Drosophila melanogaster: one gene and its partner. The protein of the gene in region 1 interacts with the protein of each later gene in a pairwise test. Each region holds a gene or a part of one and is shown in the gene's direction. Other genes may lie near its edges.

What was found.
Region 2: the proteins of sofe (region 1) and CG31156 interact in a two-hybrid assay, tested with the Drosophila melanogaster proteins (one large-scale study listed by BioGRID).

The regions. Positions count from the first base shown.
Region 1 is NC_004354.4:10,851,865-10,861,747, reverse strand, and holds sofe (sister of feo), read left to right. Parts: upstream 1-4,334; 5' UTR 4,335-4,476; coding exon 4,477-6,300; 3' UTR 6,301-6,748; downstream 6,749-9,883. Other genes in the region: CG2186 (uncharacterized protein), read right to left, coding at 658-786, 851-2,550, 2,623-3,303, 3,369-3,460, 3,813-3,826; feo (fascetto), read left to right, coding at 7,144-9,159.
Region 2 is NT_033777.3:22,606,377-22,618,875, reverse strand, and holds CG31156 (uncharacterized protein), read left to right. Parts: upstream 1-5,219; 5' UTR 5,220-5,375; coding exon 5,376-5,533; intron 5,534-5,591; coding exon 5,592-6,086; intron 6,087-6,151; coding exon 6,152-6,583; intron 6,584-6,642; coding exon 6,643-7,013; intron 7,014-7,072; coding exon 7,073-7,355; intron 7,356-7,424; coding exon 7,425-7,624; intron 7,625-7,676; coding exon 7,677-7,866; intron 7,867-7,923; coding exon 7,924-8,154; intron 8,155-8,160; exon of another isoform or gene 8,161-8,201; coding exon of another isoform or gene 8,202-8,721; intron 8,722-8,769; coding exon of another isoform or gene 8,770-9,338; exon of another isoform or gene 9,339-9,391; intron 9,392-9,394; coding exon 9,395-9,527; intron 9,528-9,600; coding exon 9,601-9,730; intron 9,731-9,792; coding exon 9,793-10,016; 3' UTR 10,017-10,206; downstream 10,207-12,499. Other genes in the region: mRpL45 (mitochondrial ribosomal protein L45), read right to left, coding at 1-194, 262-306; CG31161 (uncharacterized protein), read right to left, coding at 682-792, 847-1,002, 1,073-2,185; mRRF2 (mitochondrial ribosome recycling factor 2), read right to left, coding at 2,434-2,598, 2,653-2,802, 2,861-3,074, 3,136-3,647, 3,700-3,922, 3,980-4,349, 4,403-4,695, 4,753-4,915 and 1 more; CG13843 (uncharacterized protein), read right to left, coding at 8,202-8,721, 8,770-9,338; Efa6 (exchange factor for Arf 6), read right to left, coding at 11,658-11,679.

The DNA.
Region 1 (9,883 bases):
GCTAGCTTCGGCGGCCGAAGGATCAAATGCCCTTGCATACACTATATATTTTACAAGATTACCTACACATGCTTTATAAAAATCTTTATAAAATTTATATATTTATTTTATTTTTATTAGCTGTTCATAATATATATTTAGATTTGCGATCTTTTTGGGCTAAATATGGTTAAAAAAAACGCTGAACAAACGTAATTTTAATAGTTTTTACCTACAATTTTTAATACAAAATAATCAATTTTTTTGCTGTAACATTGGAAATAATTGTTCAAAATTTGAATTTTACACCTCGTTAAATTTGAAATAAAATTTCCTATCGATCTGCATTCGAACATAGAAACTTTAATTTTTTGCCAGTTTTCGCAAAAAATTAAACTTAAAAAAATATGTCAAAAATGGATTTCTGAAAATCTGGATTAAAGTTACTTAAACACTAAACCTTGTTTATTAGCTGTAGAAATCAGTAATTTTTTAAGTTCTGTGATCTTTTTGGGCCAAGTTCTTATTAAAACTCCTCTCAAACATATCGAATTTTTGCCAAAACTACTTATGTATATTCTGCTCATATTCTAAACCAACCAGCAAGGGCATCAAAATACTATGGTACAACCTGCACATTTATAAGCTAATAAAATAAGTAAGAGAACAAGGACTTACCTCGTGTAGCTTCTCCTCGGCTGCGCGCCGACGCTTCAGCTCCTTGTCTCGCATGATTTTCTCGCGCAGTTGCTTCTGCTTCTCAATCTCAAGGCGATAGTTGCGGGTCTCCTCGTCCTCGTCGCTGGGCTGCATTCAAAATGTGATATTAATTCAGAGCCAGAGCTGACATTGCATCACTGATTCCACTTACCATACTGCGACTGCCTGTTTCGGAGGGTCGGCCGCGCGGCTCGCCAGAGAATGGATTCCGGGCAGTGCCTCCTCCGGCCGAGCCACTCCTTCGTCGCTTGGGGGGCGCAGCTCCGCTGGATGCTGATCCGCCCGCTCCTTGAGCACTGGCGGTGCTTGCTGCGCCACGATTCTCGTCTCGATCCCGACTCGATGCCCGTCGGAATCCACGGTTTCCAGCCGCCCGATTGGCGCCATATCGTTCACGATCTCGCTCCCGATCCCTTTCACGATCCCTCTCGCGCTCCCGCTCCCGCTCGCGTTCTCTTTCCACGCGCTTAACGGGAGAGTAACTGCGACCACGAGAGCGACTGCGGCTACGTGTTCGCCTCCGTTCGCCTGCCTGGCCGGACGAGGCGGCTCCGGTGGAGGAGCCCGACGACGGTGGCGAGCGTTCCATGCGTCGCTTCTCAATGTACTGCCGATTCTTGTTGATGAACTCCACCTGCTGGCGCAGCAACTCGGCCTCGCTGTTAATGGCGGGCATAAAGTGTGTCTCCTTGATGAACTTGTTGGTAGCCGCTTCGACGCCGCCCTTGAAATTCGGATTGATGAGCACCTTGCTGACCCGGGGCACCGATGATGAGCCCTGCTGCTGCGGCGGTCCATTCGGCTGTTGAGGGGGCTGGCCAGGATTGACGGCCTGCTGTAGGGGATTGCCCGCCTGCTGCGGTGCTGGCTGCTGCTGTGGCGGCTGCTGCGATTGCTGTTGCTGGGGCGGCGGTCCTCGCATTCCCATGCCATTGGCATAGTTCGGCGGTGCGCCGGGCATCATGTGCGGTGGCAGCGTTTGCAGTGGTGGTCGCTGCATGCGCGCATTGTCCCCCTGCGGTCGCCAGCCGTTGTGAGGCCGCATGAACTGCTGCGGATGCTGGGGTGGATGTCCCTGGTCGTAGCCGTACGATGGCGGGGCATTCCGATACAGCGGCGGACGCATGCCCGACTGTTGCTGGTGCGGCGACTGGTGTTGCTGATGCAAACCAGGTCCCGGTCCCGGACCCAGAAGTGCTCCATTGCGATAGCCACCCGGATTGGGCGCATATGCCAGCGGCGGTGGTTGCAGCAGACCCACACGCACCTGCTCGTGCGGATGCGGCAGCAGGTGGTGCAGCACGCCTCCGTTCGGATTGTGACTGTGGTGCATCATGTGCGAATGCGTGGGAGTGTGGAGGGGAGAGGCGGGAGCGCTGTGTGGCTGTTGTGTGTTGGTCGGTGCTTGTTGTGGTGACTGGTTGGGTGGCTGAGTTGCCGGGTACTGGCCTGGAATTGGAATGAATGTCGGATTGCTCAGTGTTTGCTGTTGTTGTTGATGAACTTGATGGCTGGGATGGGCTTGCGGTATGGACAGGGTGAGCGGGGTTACGGGAACGGTTAGTGGGAGAAGGCAGGCGGCGGTGGGAGCAGCACCCACTGGCGTGCTCATCAGAGCCAGGTGCTGCGGTGGTGGAGCATTACCCGGCATGCCATATCGCTGTGGCGGCGGTTGCATCCCGGCCATGCCCATGCGCTGCTGCTGTATGCCGAAACTTGGCGACGGATTGCGTAGCAGATGGTGGCGCGTTCCAATTCCACGCGGCGGCTTGCCCATCTGGCTCTGTTGCTGCTGCTGCTGCTGCTGCTGGCCATGCATGAAGCGTCCACCTCCGCCCACGCGGGGTTTATCTGCAATTAACAATTAATACACTCATTAGGTAAGGATTTGACAAGGAAGACTACCCCTCCCGTTGCACCCACCTCCATGGCCGTGGAGTCGCCGCTGCTGGTGCTGGTAGGGCGACATGTGTGCGTGCTCTTGCTGCTGCCTCAGATTGTTGTCAGATCGCTCGCTGGCCGTCTTGTAGTTGGTGCGCTCCTCGCGCTCTTCGTCGTCCTCTCGCGGATCTGAAATCACAGAGGCTGAGCTGGCGCTGGGCAGGCTCTCTTGGGATGAGGCCAGTAGCGAGCACAAGCCCAGTCCTCGTTCAGCCTCACTCTGACTGCCAGCGTTCTCAGCTTGTTCCTCGCTGTTGCCATTATTCTGAGTCGCCTCCTTTTCGGCGCAATCAGCTGGAGGCGCCTCCTCCTTAGCTTGCTGTTGTGGGGATTCCGAGCGACTGGCTGACACCAGTTCCTTCGCTGGCTCAGCTGCCACAGCCGCGTGGGCTGTGTCAACATGTTTCTCCACCTGAGCGACTAGAGGTTTCGCAGGAACAGGATCCGGAGCAGGAGATGAAGCTAGCTCTGGTTGCGCCCTTAAAGTTGGTGCTACCTCTGCGGTGGCCGTGGCTGCAACAGTGACTTCAGTCGCTGCAGTCGCATCTGCCTGCAATTGCTCCTTGTGCTTGCGCTCGTGCTGTCTAATCTGCTCCTGGGCCCACTCCTCGGCCTCGGCGCGCATCTGCTGCTTCACCTCGCTGGTGACATCCTTTTCGAGCTCTGTGCATGGAAGAAGGATATCCATCAGAAAACGATTCAACTATTGCAGTGCATATAGAACTCACCTTCGTCCGAGAGTAGCAACTCATCCTCATCGGCGCCGAGCAGAGCTTGGTCATCGATGTCATCGCCCAGCTCGTAGTTGAGCAGGTCATCGCTGCGGATGAGATGCAGTTAAGAAATCATTAATGGGTTAAGGAGAAAACCAAGGTGAGACTTTTCTATCCTTCGAGGTTCCATTGAAAAAAAAAAATATAATAACCACACGCACTCAAACACATACACAAGCACAGCCGGGGGGGCATTCACACACATTCGCACACATACGTACACACCTACGCAGCTTGAAAATGTTATACACATGCATCGCCAACCCCCCCGCCCCGACAATGCTTTTTGCATGCGATTTTCTCAGTGCCACCAATCGAACGCTGGCCAGGATTGTTGCCCAATCTTAGGTGGCCACCATTCATCACAGGGTCACCCACTTTTTCGCACCCACCACTTACTTAATGTCCGACATTTTTTCGCCAGGGCAGCTGTTGACACTCGGCGGCGCGCGTGTGTGGGTGTGTGTTTTAAAGTAGAACAGGGACTGTCTACGGACGCGGCGCGGTGTTTTATAACATTTTGAACAGCCGTTTTGCGATCGAATCGATCTGAGCAGTAACGCGCGCTTTTCCACTGAATAAGTAGGCACCCGAAAGGTATGCGAAAAGTTCGGGTCTTTTTCACACGCAGTATTTTTTTTGAGGGATGCAATTGGTATTAGTGGTGGCAAGTACAGCGATAGGTATGCGTTGCTATCGGTATATATCGATATCAATTTATACTACTTACCATACCATTGGTACTAACATTTACCATATTAGACACGGTAAAACAATTATTTTCTTATAACGCATTATACGCAATAGAAAGTGAGTAGCAGAAATATACTCACTCACTATATATATATTTGATCTCCAATGCTTACCGATGTGGCAATGCTGTCGCCTAACAGCACCAATTGGCCAGTGTTGCAGAGCGCACGAGTTTGATGTACAGTTTGAAATTTACCGATTTAAACATAGCAACATTGCGTCCATACGTTCTGATTCGAATTGAATTTCATGTTTACTTACATCCAACCACACACGAGAACACGACACAGAAACAAACAAAATAAACACAATGCTATCTAGCGAACACAAAGCAAGGATACTAGCGCTGACGGCCGAGCACTTCGACGAGCTGCACGCAATGTGGTCGCGAATGTTTGAGCCGCAAGCCTGCGAGGATTGTCTCGCCCGTCTTAAGGATCACGTACACACATTCTACACGGATCTCCGCAAGGAGACGAGCGACAAGGAGCAGGGTATACTCAACGACATAGCCGTTTTGCGCAACGAGGCCAGCGGGCTAAGGCGGCTGCTTCACAAAGCGGTGGACATTGGCGAGCGGCCGGACGATGTGCCGATGGAGATCTGGTACATTAAGCTGGAGAAATACATCGAACAACTGCGCAAAGAGCTGGTCAGCCGACGGGCAGAGATCAGGGAGCTACTCCATCAACAGCAGCAGCTCTGCGATGAGCTGGGCGAACAGCCGCTTTCACTTCTAGCTGATCCCCTGCCGCTGCCCGAGGAGATGGACCCCTTTCGGGAGCACCTAGCCCAGCTGCGCGATCAGCGAGTGCAGCGCCTCAGGGATATGGACGAGCTGCGCCAGAACATCAAACGAAACATAAAACTACTCGAACTTCAATTGCGAACGGACTCGGAAAAGCGGTTACTCAATGCGGATAACCATAAGCTTACTCCCTACGCCTACGTGCGCCTGCAAGAAATGGACAAAGAGTTCGCCGACCAGGTGCAGGATCTAATCGACCGCATCGACGAGATGCGCGGCAAGATTGAATGCCTCTGGCAGCGGCTCAGGATGACCGACGAATACGCCATGCGTCGTGTGCGCGAAGCCACGTCCTATAACCAGTGCACCTACGACATATTGCGCGAGGAGCTGGAGCGCTGCCAGGCGATGCGGCAGCAGAATCTGATTGCCTTCATCGAGCAGCTGCGCATTGAGATCAACGAGTGGTGGGATCTTTCACTGAAAAGCACCGAGGAGCGCAGGCGCTTCACCACCTACTACTGTGATACGCAGACCGAAGATGTTCTCGAGCAGTTCGAGAAGGAGCTGGACAACCTTAAGGAGTTCTACAACAGCAACAGGAAGATATTTGAGCTATACGCGAATCGAGGCGAGCTATGGACGCGCATGGAGGCCCTGGAGGCCAAGGCCAACGATCCAAATCGGTTCAACAATCGCGGTGGACAGCTGCTCAAGGAGGAGAAGGAGCGCAAGACTATCATGTCCCGTCTGCCCAAGATCGATCAACAAATCACCGAACTGGTGCAGGTCTACATGAGTGAAACGCACACGCCGTTCCTGGTGCACGGCGTGGATATACTGGAGCGCATGTCGGCGGACTGGGAGCGGCATCGACAGTCCAAAAAGCAGCCCTCCGCCCAGAAGAAGGATGGCAGCAATACGAGCGGCCAAATGAAGCCGCCAATGGTGCCTCTTACGCCCAATACGCAGAAGAGCAACCGGGGCATCCATGGATCCACATCCTCGTTGAAGAAGACGCCGACCAAGGCAAATGCCAGCACCACGGCAATGAGCACAGGGAATCTGCACAAGAGACGGCATCCACAGCATCACAACACCAATAGTCCACAGCCGGCAGCAGCGGCCAAGCGAAATCTAATCGCATCGCTGGAGTGCAACAATGCAAGTCGCAAGGTCTGTGTGAATGGGCAGAAGCTGCTCAAGTCGCCGCAGAGGAAGGTGCGCGTGCTGGAATACTCGGTGCGTCGGGGCAAGGGATCCGGCAGGCCGAGCACAGGGAGCAGGAATCCCCAGAAAATTCGTCCCATACCAAAAATCCATGTGCGTCCGCCGTCCGGCGAGGAGAACGAGAGTCCCGACGAGGAGGCGGTCGTGGCCATATAATGGAGCTAGACTCTAATCACATCCAATGGCAATCATTTCGGCAACTGATCTGTGTTCTATATCTATTACCTGTACTGAAGTATTTGGCTCGCAATTGCAGACTCATCGTATTTATATGTATACACATATGTATAGTGTTAGGGCTTTTCCTAGCGCAAAGACTATCTAAATTTACAACTTTAAAATTCTTTTAACTATTTTGCACTACCTGTGACGGCAAGAAGTAAATGAACAATTGTCCACATTTTAAATTTTTAGTCAGATAAAAACGCTTGTTTACATTATAAATTACTTGATTTCAATTTTACCAAAATATACATGTGTGGGAAGGGTTTTCTAAAGTCTGTGGGATGTTTACTAAGCGCATATAAGAGAATATAATACGTTTTTAAGGAGCAAAATAATTAAAATAGATATTTTAATTTGCTAATAAACCAAATAACGAATTTTAAATATTCAAAAAAGTGGCGTATGCTCCAGCCCTGGTTTTACCAGAAGTTACCGCCGCGTGGCAATGCTGTCCCACAACGCGGTGGCAACACTCTTGGCCGCCATTTCAATTTGAATTTACCGAAATTTCTGTCTAGCGTCATCGATTCATTCAGTTCGAAATTTCGTGCAGTGATGCACTCTAAATAAACCACTAAATAAATCCGCACATTCCCGAGCAATCCTGCCCAGCGTTGTGGGTCTGCGACACAACTGTCAAGTTAACTCAGATATGCTGGTTAAATAGTCCCCAAGTGAACACAACGAAAAAACAAAGCCAGTGAGCATTTACGCAAGAAAAGAAATTTTGAACAAAAAAAAAAAAACACAAATTTCACAACGAAAACGGAGAAAATGAACTCGCCGAGCGCCATTGCGGTGAAGGCCCAGATCCTGGAGATGACGGGCGAGCACGTGGATCAGTTGCACGCGATGTGGTCGCAGTTGTTCGAGGTCAAGACCTGCGGTGAGTTCCTCCTCCGGTTGAAGGACCATGCGAACAGCTTCTTCACGGATTTGCTCAATGAGTCGCGCGAAAAGCAGCAGGCGATCCTCAACGATATAGCCGCCTTGCGGGCAGAGGCCACCGACTTGACGCGCCTACTCCACGAGCCGCTGGACATTGGCGAGCGGCCGGAGTCCATGCCGCTGGTCGTCTGGGAGCTGAAGCTGGACAAAAGCATCGAGCACTTACGCGATCAGCTGGCCAGGCGGCGAGCGGAGATCTGTGAGCTTCTGCTGCAGCAGGAGCAGCTGTGCGAGGAACTGGGAGAGCTGCCTCTGCCACTGTTGGCGGATCCACTGCCGCTGCCCGAGGAGATGGACGCCTTTCGGAATCGCCTGGGCCAGCTACGCGATCAGCGAGTGCTGCGCCTCAAAGAGATGGACCAGCTGCGCCAGGCCATTAAGCACGACATGAAGCTGCTTGAGTGCCTGCCCCAGACGGACACCGAGGAGCGTCTGCTCAACCAGGTGGATCACTGCCTAACGCCGGAGACCTTCGAGCTCCTGCGCAACATGCAAAAGAACTTCGCCGACCAGGTGAAGGAGCTGAGGGAGCGCATCGACGATATGCGCGAAAAGATCCATGTGCTGTGGGACAGACTCCAGGAGACAGACGAGTATGCCATGCGTCGCGTGCGCGAGGCTACGACCTACACTCAACGCACCTACGATGTCCTGCGGGAGGAACTGCAGCGCTGCCAGGCCCTGCGACGCCAGAATCTGAAAACCTTCATCGAGCAGCTACGCATCGAGATCAAGGAGATGTGGGATCTCACACTTAAGAGCCAGCAGGAGCGCAAGCGCTTCTCGAACTACTACAACGACTGGTACAACGAAGATCTGCTGGAGCTCCACGAACTTGAGCTGGACGACCTCAAGACCTTCTACAACAAGAACAAGGAGATCTTCGATCTGTACGAAAGCCGTGCCGAACTCTGGTCGCGCATGGAGGCGCTGGAGGCCAAGGCGAGCGAGCCGAATCGCTTCAACAATCGTGGCGGCCAGTTGCTCAAGGAGGAGAAGGAGCGCAAGGCCATCACCTCCAAGCTGCCCAAGATTGAGCAGCAGATCACGGAACTGGTGCAGGCATACGAGGCGCAGGAGAACACACCCTTTCTGGTGCACGGCGAGAACATCCTGGAGCGGATGGCCGCCGATTGGGAGCGTCATCGCCAGGCCAAACAGCAGAGCTCGGCGCGCAAGAAGGCACCGCCATCGGCCAGCAAGATAATGCCACCGCCGGCAACGGGCTCGACAGCTCCACGCACGCCGCGCACGCTGCGCAACATGTCGACCCTTTCCAGCTCCACCATGTCGCTGCGCAAGACGCCGTCGCAGCAGCACCTCCGTCCACTAAACATCACCAAGAGTACGGGCAATCTGCACAAGCGCCTGAATCCGTCCGGCCTGCAGACGGGCCCCAAAACGCCCAACGCCAAGCGCAGCCTTATGAACACACTCAACTCGATGAAGGCGTCGCCAGCCAAGCACCTGCTCGCGCCCAGCCAGCAGCATAACCAGCTGAAGAGCACCAAGTCGCCGCTGAAACGTGTTCGCGTACTGGACAACACACTGCGACGCAGCGGCGGTATGGGCAGGCGCAGCATTGGAACGCGTTCCAGCAAGAAGGCGCGCACCAAGTCCAACGATCAGAACGCCCCACCCGACAGCAGTGACTACACAACGGACGAGAATCCCGAGCAGGGTGTCAGCTATGACGAATTTCAGCCGACCAGTCGCTCCTCGATGCTGCCGCGCCAGCGTCATCAATTGGCCGTGCCGCGAACTCGTCGTGCGGAAATGAATGCCAATCTGCCGGTGCCGCGGGAAAGCCTGATGATCGTGCAGCCGCGCAGACAGTTCTAGTTCCACTGGAGATTGACTAGCTTAACGCGTACCTACTACACTATTTCATAACAGTTGGAGTTTCTTGATGTATTTTAATTTTTTATTTTCTGTTTTACGTTTTCAGAATAAAATTTATGTGAGTTTTTTCGCTTGACCACAAGACTCGAGTGTATTTCACATTTCTTTCAGCATAATTCGTGTGTAAATTTCAGGAATTGGTTGTACATTTGTTAATAATTTTTTGCTAGTTTTCCACCAAAAAGAAATAGCTGTACATTTCGATGTTTTACTATGCTTTCACGATTTATTTGATCATCAACTAAATTTGTTAATTGTTAGAGGGATGGGGAGCTATTTGCACTTTAATTTTAATATACTAATATACAACTAAATTTGTCAATTGTTAGAGGGAGGGGGTGCTATTTGGACTTCAATTTTAATATACTAATATACAATTCAATTTGTCAATTGTTTGAGGGAGGGGGAGCTATGTGCAATTTAATTTTAATATACTAATATACAATCGCACTGATGCAAGCTTTATAAAAAGATTCCAACCGCCTACACTGTAGTAGAGCAGTTCTTATTTGACTATTAAATACATATTAACACATTAAAATGGGCGGCACGTGTGGTGCCTGCGCCAGTGATGAACCCTTCAATTGGCCAGAGCCCGGTGCGGTGCAACAGCTCCTCCCAATTCGGATACCGTTTATGTACAGAGGAAAGCTTAAGTCTACAC
Region 2 (12,499 bases), on another chromosome or scaffold:
TCCTGTTTCTCGCGCAGATTGGGCAGATCCATCTTTACGAACTTGAGCTTACGAAGGCGCTTGAACTCGGGCTTCCAGTGCTTGGTTTGTCGGTGGCGCACCTGCTGCATCTGGATCAGATTCTGAAGAGGAGAAGCGAGCACGCCCAGGCCACCACCAGGAAGAAGGGCCGCCTGCTGCACGCCGGGCATAACCTGGGATATACAATGAAGGCAATGTTAATTGAACTGTCTTCGGTGGGCCACCTATCTGTCCATGCACCTGCAGCAGTTTAAGACACGTTTTGGCCGACGCTAGCTTCTCCATTGTATTTTATTTCTATTATATAAATAGGAAACTCCGCAATAACAAACTTTGGAAGAATCAACGGAAACACACTAACGCGACCAGCTGGCAAACGTGATTACACCGATAACACATTCGATAAGTTTGGGTAGGTAAACAACCCAAAACCGATTAGCTATATGTTTTGAATTTTGAAAAAGAATAGTTCGTTACTTTCCTATATTGAAACAAGGGGTAGTAGATAACACTATTAATAGTTTAATAGAAAATTAGTAAACGAATTTGAAAATACGCTTGAAGTAATGGTTTAATTTTATAAAACTATAGATTTTGATAGATAGCTGCTTGAATTTTGAAAAAATCTGAACAATAGATGAGATATGCCTTCTGGGTGCTTCAATTTCCCTCTTCCTCTTCACCAGGGCCATCCACGCAACTTTCGCTGCAGTCGGGAGGCAAGTCGTCAAGGAAGCGGTAACCGGCGGCCTTGAACATCTTGGCCTTCATCTGGAAGTCAAATATTTAAATAGAATATTCCCGCAGCTCCGCGACAATAATTACCATAATCTGCTGGAACTGGCAATCGTATGCGTTGAGGGCAGTGTCCCGTTTTCGCAGCTCGTTTCGCAGCACATCGATCTCCATTTGTTGACACTGGGCCCGCTGGACGGCACATTTGGCTGCCACCAGTTCCTGCTTCATCTGATTACAACGGCACTGGGATGGGAGAAGGTAAGGAGTCCACATTACTAACACTTACTCAGCATATAGGTGCTGAATAACGTACCTTAAGGATTTCCTCATTGCCCCTAGCCTTGTCTACCTCGTTTTCGTAGTAGTTCTGCATATCTCGCATTTCACACTGCATTTGCTCCATGCATCGGCACTGTTTCCGTAGATTTTCCTCCAGGTTGCATGTCAGACACTCCGCCTCATTGGCCTTCTCCTCCAGTTGATTGACTTTGTCGCCGAGCTCCTCCAGTTCCTTACACTTCTTTCGCAGCGCATCACGATCGGCTAGAATCTTTTTGATGTTCTCGGCATCCTTGTCCGGCGAGAAACTGCCCTTTCCAGGAGGACCCCTAGCGGCACGACCAGCATTGCCACCTCCACCACCACCACCACCTTCAGCACCGCACTTTTTGGCGCAACGCTTCATGACTTCGTCCTCGAACTCACGCAGTAGCGCCACCTCCTTACCCAAGTCGTCGATCTTCTTCTGCAGGTAGGGTATATCGTTGCTCTTTTCCGGATCGACTTTAATGCTATCCATCTTGCAGCGCTTCGATTGTTTTTCGAGCAGCCGCTTTAGATTGGCATTTTCAGCCTCCAGGATGTCGTGTGCCTTGTTCATGTCGTCAATGGCCGCCTGCAGACCGTTCAGTTCCTTCTCGTCCTGCGGAGTTATCTTGTTGTCATCGGCCAGTTGCTTGATTTTCTTTTTTAGAGCCTTGCTCTTGTCGGGGTCATAGCGCTGGTCCATAATCCGCTTGATCTCGGCGGTCTCCTGGTTGGCTGTCCTCAATTTATCATCAGAATCGGCCAGTTTCTTCTTTAGAATATTATTCTTGATCATCAGATCCTGCATGCGACCAATTGTGTCGTCCGCGGCATTTATTAAACTGTCGCCCACCACTAAATTACTGCCGTACTCATCCTCAGGACCCAATGGAGCAGATCTAGCGGTAGGCTCGGCACCACGGTCCTTCTTTATCGGTGAGTTGCAGGCCACCAGGTCAGCCACGAACTGTGACTTCATATCTTCGTTTGCTGACCATGATCTGTCGTCAACTGTGGATGGATACCTCTTAAGTTTAACACACGCATCGACACACTCAAATTCGTATGTCTCATTGTTGAAGGGTACGTGAAAGAACTCTTTTTGTGTGGAGAACGCCATGAATTCGCCTAGTGCTTAACACAAAAACAACTAATCTATCATGCGAATTTACAACACTATTTAAAAATGAGGGTTGAGGGTCGGTTCGGAAAGTGATCAACAGAATATGTATGGGTCCGACATGTATTGGATCACAAAATAATCTATTGCTAGGCACGTAAAAATTTACATATTTGTCTGTCAGTCGGGCCAGTTGTTAACTGCCTACTAGACTACAATTAGTTAACAGTTCTCTTAGTCGACTAAAATTATTCAAGGCCCTGTGCTCTGCGCTCCGCCAGCGATTCGTCCACGGAATTCATTGAAGAGAAGCCACACGGTTGCATCGTCATGCTGGCTGTGCCGGAACTTATCGTGCGTAGGGCACTCGAGTAGCCGGAGAGTTCTGCCAAAGGAGCATTCACCAGAATCATCTAAAAAAATACCTTTTAATGTCTTTCAAAGTTATAAACTTAACCAGTGGTTACCTTATTTCTTTCGCCTTTGGGTAAGACATCGTTAATCAGGGCTCGTCGCCGTGAAAGATCCGCCATAATTCCGGAAATACGTTCGCTAGGCGCCACAATTTGAAGGGCCATAATGGGTTCCAACAGCCTGGTGCCACTCGTGCTCAGTAGCTGTGAGTTTATATACAAAATGTAAACGAGTTGCAAGAAATAATACGATCTTAGTTACCTTTTGCACACACTGAGCTGCAGTGGCCATGACAAAAGAATCAGCAGTGCCGCGTCCAATAGTTGCGTTATGCAGACGAATCTGAGTCTCCACAACCTGCCCACCAACGCGAGGTCCTCGCTCTAGAGCGCTGATGGAGCCCTTCCGCAGAACTTGAAGAATTCGTGGACGCAATGTGTTGAGATTTGGCAGGTTATCTGGTGACTTATCTAAACTTTTGTGGAAAAACACATTTAAGTTTGATTTCGTAGAAATTTCATAGTATTCCAAATCACCTGAACAACTCGGCTTGATTCTTGACAACCTCCAGTGTTATACTGACGCTCTGCTTGCTGCCGGCTATTTCCTTTTCCACACTTAGCGTGGTTAACGCAGGTGCTTCAATTGTCTCCTTGTACGCAATTTGTAGAGGACCAAGGTCAACGTCGATTTTGTACTCGCTCAGGATGCGCGACTTGATGATGTCCATGTGCAACTCGCCCATGCCACCGAGTACTGTCTGTCCAGTAACTGAATCGTAGCTCACACGCAGACTAGGATCCTCCCGTTGCAGCTGTTTAAGTGCCTGCTCCATGGCCGTTTGCGAGGATACACTGGGAGGCTCGATCGAACAGAAGTACACGGCATCTGGTATTTGCGGGTCAATAGCAAACAGCTCGTCTGACTCATCCAATTCGTCATCTTCCTCGACTTTGGCCGCAGTATTGCCCAGGCTTTGTTTATATCGCTTTTGTGCATTCTTCAGCGCAGACTGACTTGAGGTCAGCAAATCTCCTGTCACCGTGGACTAAAAAATGGTATTTAATCTTGTTTAATTATCTATATTGGGTGCAGCTTACCTTCAGACCTGCACATATTACCACATCGCCCGACTGCACAGCGCTCACCTCTCGGTATTCGTCGGCCAATGGCTCATACAGCTTAGACACAACTTCAGCCTGTCCGCGAGCGGATATCAGACGCATGCCTCGTTTTATTTCGCCTCTCAAAATCCTAACTAGGGTTAATGGACCACGTTGCTTATCGTGTACAATTTTGAACACCTTGCCAGCCACTTCTGTTCTGTTAACCACTTCAACTTAATATGAAACATTTACTTTTTCTCGAATAAGTACTCACCCAAAGCAGTCGTAGATTTGGTTTCGTTCCTCGGGGGCAGGCAGGTAAGCATTGACAGCGTCCATTAAACGCTGTATGCCCACATTTTTGTAGGCGGAGCCCAGCAATACGGGCACTACCTTCTGCTGGGTGGTTGCCCGTCGAAGAGCTCTTTCGATCAATGCATTGTCCACATTGTCAAAGCTTTCTGTGCTGATAACCACATCGGCCAATTCGTCATCTAGTCCCGACAGTTGATCAATCAGTTCATTCCGTTTTTCCTGCAGCAGGCGCAAATCATCAGAGGGCTCCAGTTTTACATTTCTGTAACTGCGGCCCAAGTCCTTTTGCTGCCAGCTTAGTCGCTCCAGGGTGATCACGTCATTGATGGCTAAAATTGGCGGAGCTTAGATAAGCTTTCAAAAGAGTGTAGACAGAGCTTACCTAAAACCCCATCTTCGTTTTTCACGGGGTACTGTAGGCAAACGGGCTGCGTTTCTAGCTTATCCTTCAGATCGCTAACGCACTTTTCAAAGTCCGCATCAGGACGATCCATCTTGTTGACGAATATGAGACGTGGCAATTTGTGCTTGTCCGCCTGCGACCACACGGTGACCGTTTGGGCCTCCACGCCAGCTGTGCCATCCAGAACAACGACCACACCATCCACGGCATACAGAGATTGCTCAACCTCCATGGTAAAGTCAATGTGTCCGGGTGTGTCCAATAGGTTGATGCTGGATTAAATGGTGTCAGGAGTTACGGGTAAGCGAAGTAGCAAACGAAACTCCTACCGGTGATCATTCCACGAAAATGTTACTGCCGAGCTGCAGATCGTTATGCCCCGTTCGCGCTCCTGGGTTAGGTAATCAGTGACCGTGTTGCCGCGATGCACTTCACCCAAAGCTCTGGTCTTGCCCGCATAGAACAGCATGCGTTCCGTTGTCGTTGTTTTGCCTGAAACAGATTCATTGACAAAGTAATGTTAAGTAGTATTTAAATTTGCAGTGCTCCTACTCACCTGCATCGATATGCGCCAGAATGCCTATGTTCCTGATCTTGCTGCTATAGCTACGCTTCCAGATTTGATTGGAAAGATGCCATAGCCACCTGTTGCTTTGTTTTGGACCGCTTTGCCATGCATATTTCAGCATTTTCATTAATAAATGAATAAAAATGGAACCAAACTGCCAAATTTAACCACTTTTATCAGCTGTTTATTTTTTATAGTTATCGATAAGTGGCGCTAACAGCTGTCTCTCGCAATCGAATATTTACGACTTCGTGATCAAAGAGGTCACAAAAAGAGAAATTGTTAAGTTCATTTGTTAATTACCTTTTTTAAGAATATAAAATAAATTGTAAATTAATTGCAATATTGTGCTTATTAAACATAATCTTAAGAATAGATTGCAACATGTCGAAACGACCTCGACGCGCGGCATCCACAAAAAAGATAGTAATTGAAATCTCCGACTCAGATGAGGAAGTGAATCTTACGGCAGACGACGATTACAGGCCGGAAGAAACCAAGAGTCGCATAATAGATCGCGCTGCAGATGCGCAGACCGTCGTGTAAGTCATACCCTTATTATCCTGTAAAGAATAATATATTTACCCGATATCCTTCCAGGACCAAACGCCAGCGGTTCCCAACATCCAAAAAAACAGCTGCTGAGGGACCAGCTCCCAAGAAAAAGCGGGGCGACAAAGAAAAGGCGGACGAGAATGCTTGTCCCAATGAGAACAATCCGGAATCGGTAGTCCAGGACACACCTTCAACTTCAAACCAACGGAATGGAGCCGTAGGCACTGAACACAATTCCGAAGCTCCGGCTCCTAAGAGAAAACGCGCCAGAAAGGATAAGGAGGACTTGAAAACGGCAGCCAATGAGACTAATCCTGAGAAGGGGGACGTTGTGCCCTCAACAGCAGTGACACAACCAAACGATATCGTAGCCAGCTCCTCACACAACAAGTCTTCCACTGGACGCAGTTCCTTCTGGGAGCGACGAAAGGTGTGGAACATCGACGAGCTCCTGGCCGAAACGGAGAGCATACAACCGCAGGCAGCTCGAAATATTGTAAAGCTCTTCGAGGATGAAAATACCATACCTTTTATTTGCAGGTACGCTATAATTGATATATTTATCTTGGCATTGATATATTTATATTGGCATTGTTTCCTGACAGGTACCGTCGAGATCTGGTGGATCACATCGCTCCAGATCGCCTTAGAGATATTCGGAACACGTACACAGAGATCGTCGATCTGCGGAAAAGAGCTGAGAATATTATTGGTAAATTGCAGCGTGAAAACATCATGACTCCGGAAATAAGAGAGGAGCTAATGTGCGCCAAGTCCAACGAAGAACTGGAGTTCCTTTATGCCCCCTATAAGCCGGCCAGTAAGGGCACTTTGGCGGAACGCGCCAAAGCTTTGGGCTTGCAGGTGTACGCCGATTGTTTACTGTACGGCTCAGCACCTAAGGTCAACCTTTCTGAAATTGTGGACCGCCGAAATGAGGCTTTAGCTACGGAGGCACTTGTGATGTCTGGAATCTGCCAAATTATTATTCACAACATCAGCAAAAACACAAATGTTTTGGAGGAAATACGCAGATTGTAAGCTCTTGTACCTAACTAGGAAGTTTCTATTGAAATTATTTGCTATATCGTTCTAGGCAAAACGTGCACCGGGTATTCCTCAAGTGCAGCAAGACCAAGGAGGCGAAATCGTCTAAATCTAGTTCTTCTAGTAAAGCAAGCTCCAGTAAAGGATCCAACCAAAATGCAGATAAGAAATTGGATAGCTCAAAGTTTGAGAATTATTTCAACTTCCAGGGTGATGTTAAAACTATAAAACCTTATCAAATGTTAGCCATCAATCGTGGGGAGAAGCACAAATGGCTTTCTGTCAAGATAGAAACGAACGATTACCTTAAAAGAGATCTGATGCGCTATATAACCGATCAGTACATGAACCAAGGCTTGCAATATCCATTAAGAAGGGAGGTGTTCACAAAATCCTTAGAGGAGTGCTACGCGAAGAAGTGTAAGATATGGAATATATTAAGACCCCCATATGATATGTTAATTAATTACTTATTACAGTGCAGCCCTTGATGTGCAGGCAGATTCGAGCGGCTTTAAAAGAAAAAGGCACAAAGGCAGCCATCGATGTGTTTGCCAAGAACCTGAAGCAACTACTGTTGATATCCCCCTTGAAAGGCGAACGCATTTTGGGCATAGATCCGGGTTTTATAAATGGATGCAAGCTGGCACTTATATCCGAGACTGCTGATGTGCTGTACACTGGTGTTATTTACCCTCATGGTGCCATGTCAAACAAGCGGGCTGCCGAACAGAAATTGGTTCAGCTTCTTTCAGATCATAAGTATATATATATTTTGAATTCGATTTGCAAAGATAGTTATTAATATGTCTTTTTTGCCTTTCCCAAAAGCTGTAAAATTATTGGCCTGGGCAATGGTACTGCCTGTCGCGAAACTGAGCACTGGCTAACTGGTATGTTTCATGCCGGCGTTCTGGACAGCAGGATCATTCGCTACAGCATCGTTAACGAGAATGGAGCATCTATTTACTCCTGCAGCAATGTGGCCGCCAAGGAGTTTCCCAAAATGGATACAAACGAAAGGAGCGCAGGTTTGGACGAAGATCAAATTAAAAGCAACACAAACAAACATATTTTGTATAGTGTCCATAGCGCGTCGTTTGAATGATCCATTGAGTGAATATGTTAAAATAGAGCCCCGTCACCTGGGGGTTGGTATGTACCAGCACGATGTTCCCGAGAAGATTTTGACGGCATCGCTGAATGACGTTGTGTCCGAGTGTGTCAGTTATGTTGGCGTTGATCTCAACACAGCCAGTCTGAGTGTACTCAAGTATGTGTGATTAAGGGTCAAATAAGTTATATATTTTTAATATTCTCCACCATATAGGCACATTGCTGGTCTGTCGGAAAAGAAAGCGGAAAAGATCATTGAGCATCGTACGCAGAAAGGACCATTCAAGACACGGAAGGATCTGCTCTCCGTGCGAAGCATAGGTGAGAAATCGTTTGTCCAGTGCGCCGGTTTTGTGCGCATCGAACCCCGAAGCGTTGGAGGACAACTACAGAATCCATTAGATTGCACTTGGGTGCATCCTGAGAGCTACAACGTTGTGGAAAGGTAAGTCCAATATTCAATTGACTTCATTAACCAATAATAATGAGACTTTATTCCGCCTGATTCATCGCAAGCCTGGCCTTTTCATCCGCTGCCCTCACTAACAAGGAGGTGTCACTAGGTGTCACAATGTCACTTTCGTGTTGCGTGATGCCAGCTATGTTCTTTGGACAATCGTCGTCAAAATTCTTAAGATTTGTAACATCCTCGCTAGATTCCATTTGACACCAGCACGGAAGGTACGGCTTCAAGGGATCCTTCTTGTCGCAACGCTTGCAGGTGCAGTTCTCCATGCCGGCACTCATAAAAGTCCGGAAGTCCGTCTCCTGACTCAAAAGCCCCAGATAGTCCTCTATAGAGTGCTCTTTCATAGGGTCCATCAGCTCCGCCCACGTCTTTAGCTTCACGATCACGCCAAAGAAATACGTGTTTAAGTCCTCGATTATTTGCAGCACCGAATCTAGCTCTTTCAAGAATGTACTTCCTAAAGACCGGTCCAACCTGGCTACGCGTTGATCTAGCTCCTTTTTCGACTCACTCATGTCCAGGTATAAATTGCTCAAATCGGTGCTAAAAAGTTTTAAATTAGCAGTGGCTGTGTATTTTTAATAGACTTACTTTGACTGATTGACGATATTGTAGGCTCTCTGAAACTCGCAAAGGGCCCGCTCTTCGGTCATCCGGCTTATGTACTCGGGATAGGTCTTAGTGCATCCGGTCGAGCTGGCTAAAATGCGATAACGCACTCCATGGTAACGCATCTCCTTAACCCTCTCAATCTGAAATGGTTTGGCCTGCTCCAGCTCATTCTTCAGGGCCTTCATTTTCTGGTCAACTACTAGAGTTTGCTCGTGCACACACTGCTCAAGCTTAAAATCGTAGCGGGAGTAGATATTCTCACAATGCTTGAAGGTTGGCTTCAGCAAATGGATGGGAATGGTCGATCCCCGGCACGGTGGCGGAAGCGGACGACGCTTGTACCGCTCCGGCGGATACTCCCAGCAAACTCCAAAGCGGGTTTGATCCTGCACATTGAGCGGATGCTGCCAGCAGGGCTTGTATTTCGGCTTATCGTTGTGGCCGTAGAATGCTACCTTTCCACATGCAACATATCGAAGCTTGGCTGGCGGCACAATTGGAGGATAATGCCAGCGCTCCGCATATTCCTGCTTTAGCTTGGCAATCATTATAATGGAAAATTTGAAAACTTAACTCTAAAACCAAATACTTTTTGTGCTTTCAGTATTGTCGGAGAATGTGACTTAAAGCTGTCGGATGTGGGCAAGGCTGCCTTTATAGCTAGCATCAAGCAGTTTGCCTCATCCCAGCCTAATCTCGATCGCATTGCCAAGCAGCACAAGCTGCCCATGGAGCGAGTAAGTGCCACTCAATCTATACTAAACAGGCCTATTGCAATGTTCAAATAATTTAAAATAAATTTCCTTTCAGTTGGAGTTCCTGTTGGTTGCCCTGCAGCGCGAATTACTTCAGGATTATCGAGCAGATCTGGACAAGAGGCCACTGTTCAAACAAGGTCTAACTAGGCTGGATGATCTTAGCATGGGCGAGGTGGTCACTGGCAAGTGGAGACTATGATAGTCATTTCATATATGTACTTATTGAAACTATTCCGACACACAGGTGCCGTGACCAACGTAACCCAGTTTGGCGCCTTCGTGGACGTTGGAGTGGAGCGCAATGGCCTCATACACAACAGTAACATGAATAATTCGCAGCTGAGCGTTGGCGATCGCATTGTGGCATCGGTGGTAAAGGTGGATCTGAAGCGACGCCAGTTGGAATTACGTTTGGAAAATATGCTGATGGAGACGGATACCTCGTTTAAGTTCAAGGCGGAGGATTAGACAAACTGCAGGGATTTAATGCTTTCGGAAGTATTTAATGATTCATATCGTAATTGTTTGGTTGCTCACACGAGCATTCATATATACTATATATAGTTCATATATATATTTATATATATGTGTATATGCATAGTATAACGGCTTTCCTAAGTTTAATCAAAGCTTATCAGTTAGTAATAAATGTTCACATAAAAATCACCGTCTCCACGTTCGTCTTCTTGTTTCCCTTCTCGCCACAAGTTGGCAAGTTGTCTTAAATGAATTGTTATCGAAAGGGTATTGCTTTAGAAACTAAGTGATGCCCTCTTAAGCCAGTTAAAATAAATATACAATATGCATACATTTAGGCGCTTGGTTTGCAGCAGGCAAGTTGCTTTCACTTTTAGTTAGTTTGTATTTTCGAATTTATTGCCGTTTCAGTAGAATTGTTAAAAATTATTATAAACAATGTTATATAGTCTGCATTTACATAATTACACAATACCATAATCATAATATATTCAAAAATATATGATGCATTTAATTTTATTTTTTCCTCCATCTCTCTTTACCCCGTAATGGATATTTAATTTCATATTCTAGCTACATGGACATGTCGCGTAATCAACCGATAGTTGTTTAAATAAATATATTAATCCGTACATAATATTGGAGTAACTGTTCCTACACAGTTAAATGTGATAATGTATCGCAAAAGACCAAAAACAAGTTGTACACGGTATGGTAGTAATTGCTTAAGCTTAATGCTAATGCGCTTGTCCTCTTCTCAATTCTCATTTCGTTATTGTTACTGCCGATGTTCTCCATCTTGTGGTTGTGTAGAGATATTGTTCATTAATTAATAATTTATTTTTATCATTTATAATGATAGCATAGGTAATGATGTAAGTATTGTTTATCAACTCTTGTAATAATAAGTCTATGTGTATAAGCAGTTTTCATTCTCGTTCCTAAACAGCCGTCCAGCAGAATCTTTGGCGGAGCAAATATGAACGATAATTCAAATTCGAATCGATCTGACTGTGTAGCTTTAAATCAGGTGAAACCGATCTCGAATACCCTCATTCTGGATAAGTAGCATGGTAAATATAAAATCAACTGCACGAATTCGAGATAATCCTCTGGTTGCCGAGATTATGCCGATGTCTTCTGATGAACGACCTTTAAACGTAAAATTCTCCCTCGTTAATTATCGCATTGGTAGTCTAATTGTCTCAAATGATCTCTTTCTCGCAACCCCTGATGGGGTTTTAACTGACTGAAAGTGCACGAATTCCGAATTTCTGTGGCAGACACGGCACAGCCGCAACGCTTGAGTGTAAGTGGGTGGGTGGTGGCGTGGCGCGAGTGGTGCTGAGTATGCGAGTGGGTGAGTGGTTCAGTGGTTCTGTGTGGATCTGATCTGTTTATGTTCCCGTCGCAGGCAGCTTGGCATTTTGGAGTATTCTATTCAAATTCGTTCAATCGCCTGCTTCACTGGTGGGGAGAGAAAAGATAGTTACACGCATAAGTCGAAGTTGCTGATAGGTTCAATGTGGGCATGGCACTTACCGATAGCCAAGAGGCGGGGATTGTGATGTAGGTGTGTGTTGGTTATGCGAGTTTTGAAATGATCGAAATCAAGAGCGAAATAAAACGTAATTATTTCTTTTTCTTCTCTTTTCTGCAAGTGTAGAACAATAAGCGAGGTTAGCAATCGTGGATTGAAAACAAAAAACGGGTTGTCGGATGGTGGGAATTCGTTTTGGGATCGCACTAAGCCAAGCTAGACACTGAAGAGTTAACAATTAACATTGAGTTTTGGCCTCGGCCTGCTCACATTTAATAAGACAGGTGATCGGGTCGATCAGTACGGGTCAGGGCATTTACAAGGAGCACCTCTTGGAGCGGATCACTAGCCTCTGAGTTGTGGTGCTTCGTGTGCTGTGGCTGATGTGGCTAAATCTTGGCAAGAGACTAAGTTGCTTAATGGCTTTTCGAATGGATCAAGTGCCGCCAGAGTGGGCAACAGCAGCAGAAGACATCGAACCATCTGTAAGATTGAAGAATTCTTCCATTTGGGTTTTGCTTTTCACATTTCACTTGCATTTGGGTGGAACGTAGCATTTGAACGCATTTGAACGGGAAAACGGAATGGCAACGGGCAACGAGTAACGGCAACTGCTTTGGGTTCACCTAGGGCTCGGGGTCACCAAATGTCGTCGGGTTAACATGAGTCATATATGGGTACATCGGTGAAATCATCAGCAACTTGTGTACAGTGTGTGGGTGTGGGATGGCTTAATTGATTCGTCTACTTAAATTTTATATCTATCCGTTGGATGTGTGCTGGTTTGTAAAACTGGTATAATCCTTTTTTCTTTGTGAGTTATTATGTTGTTGCATGTATATTTGGAATGCCGGTAGCTTAGGCTTAAACGTAAACGTTTGCTACTAGTGAACCACATTTGTGTTTTCTACATTTCTTTGTTTAATTTCGTTTC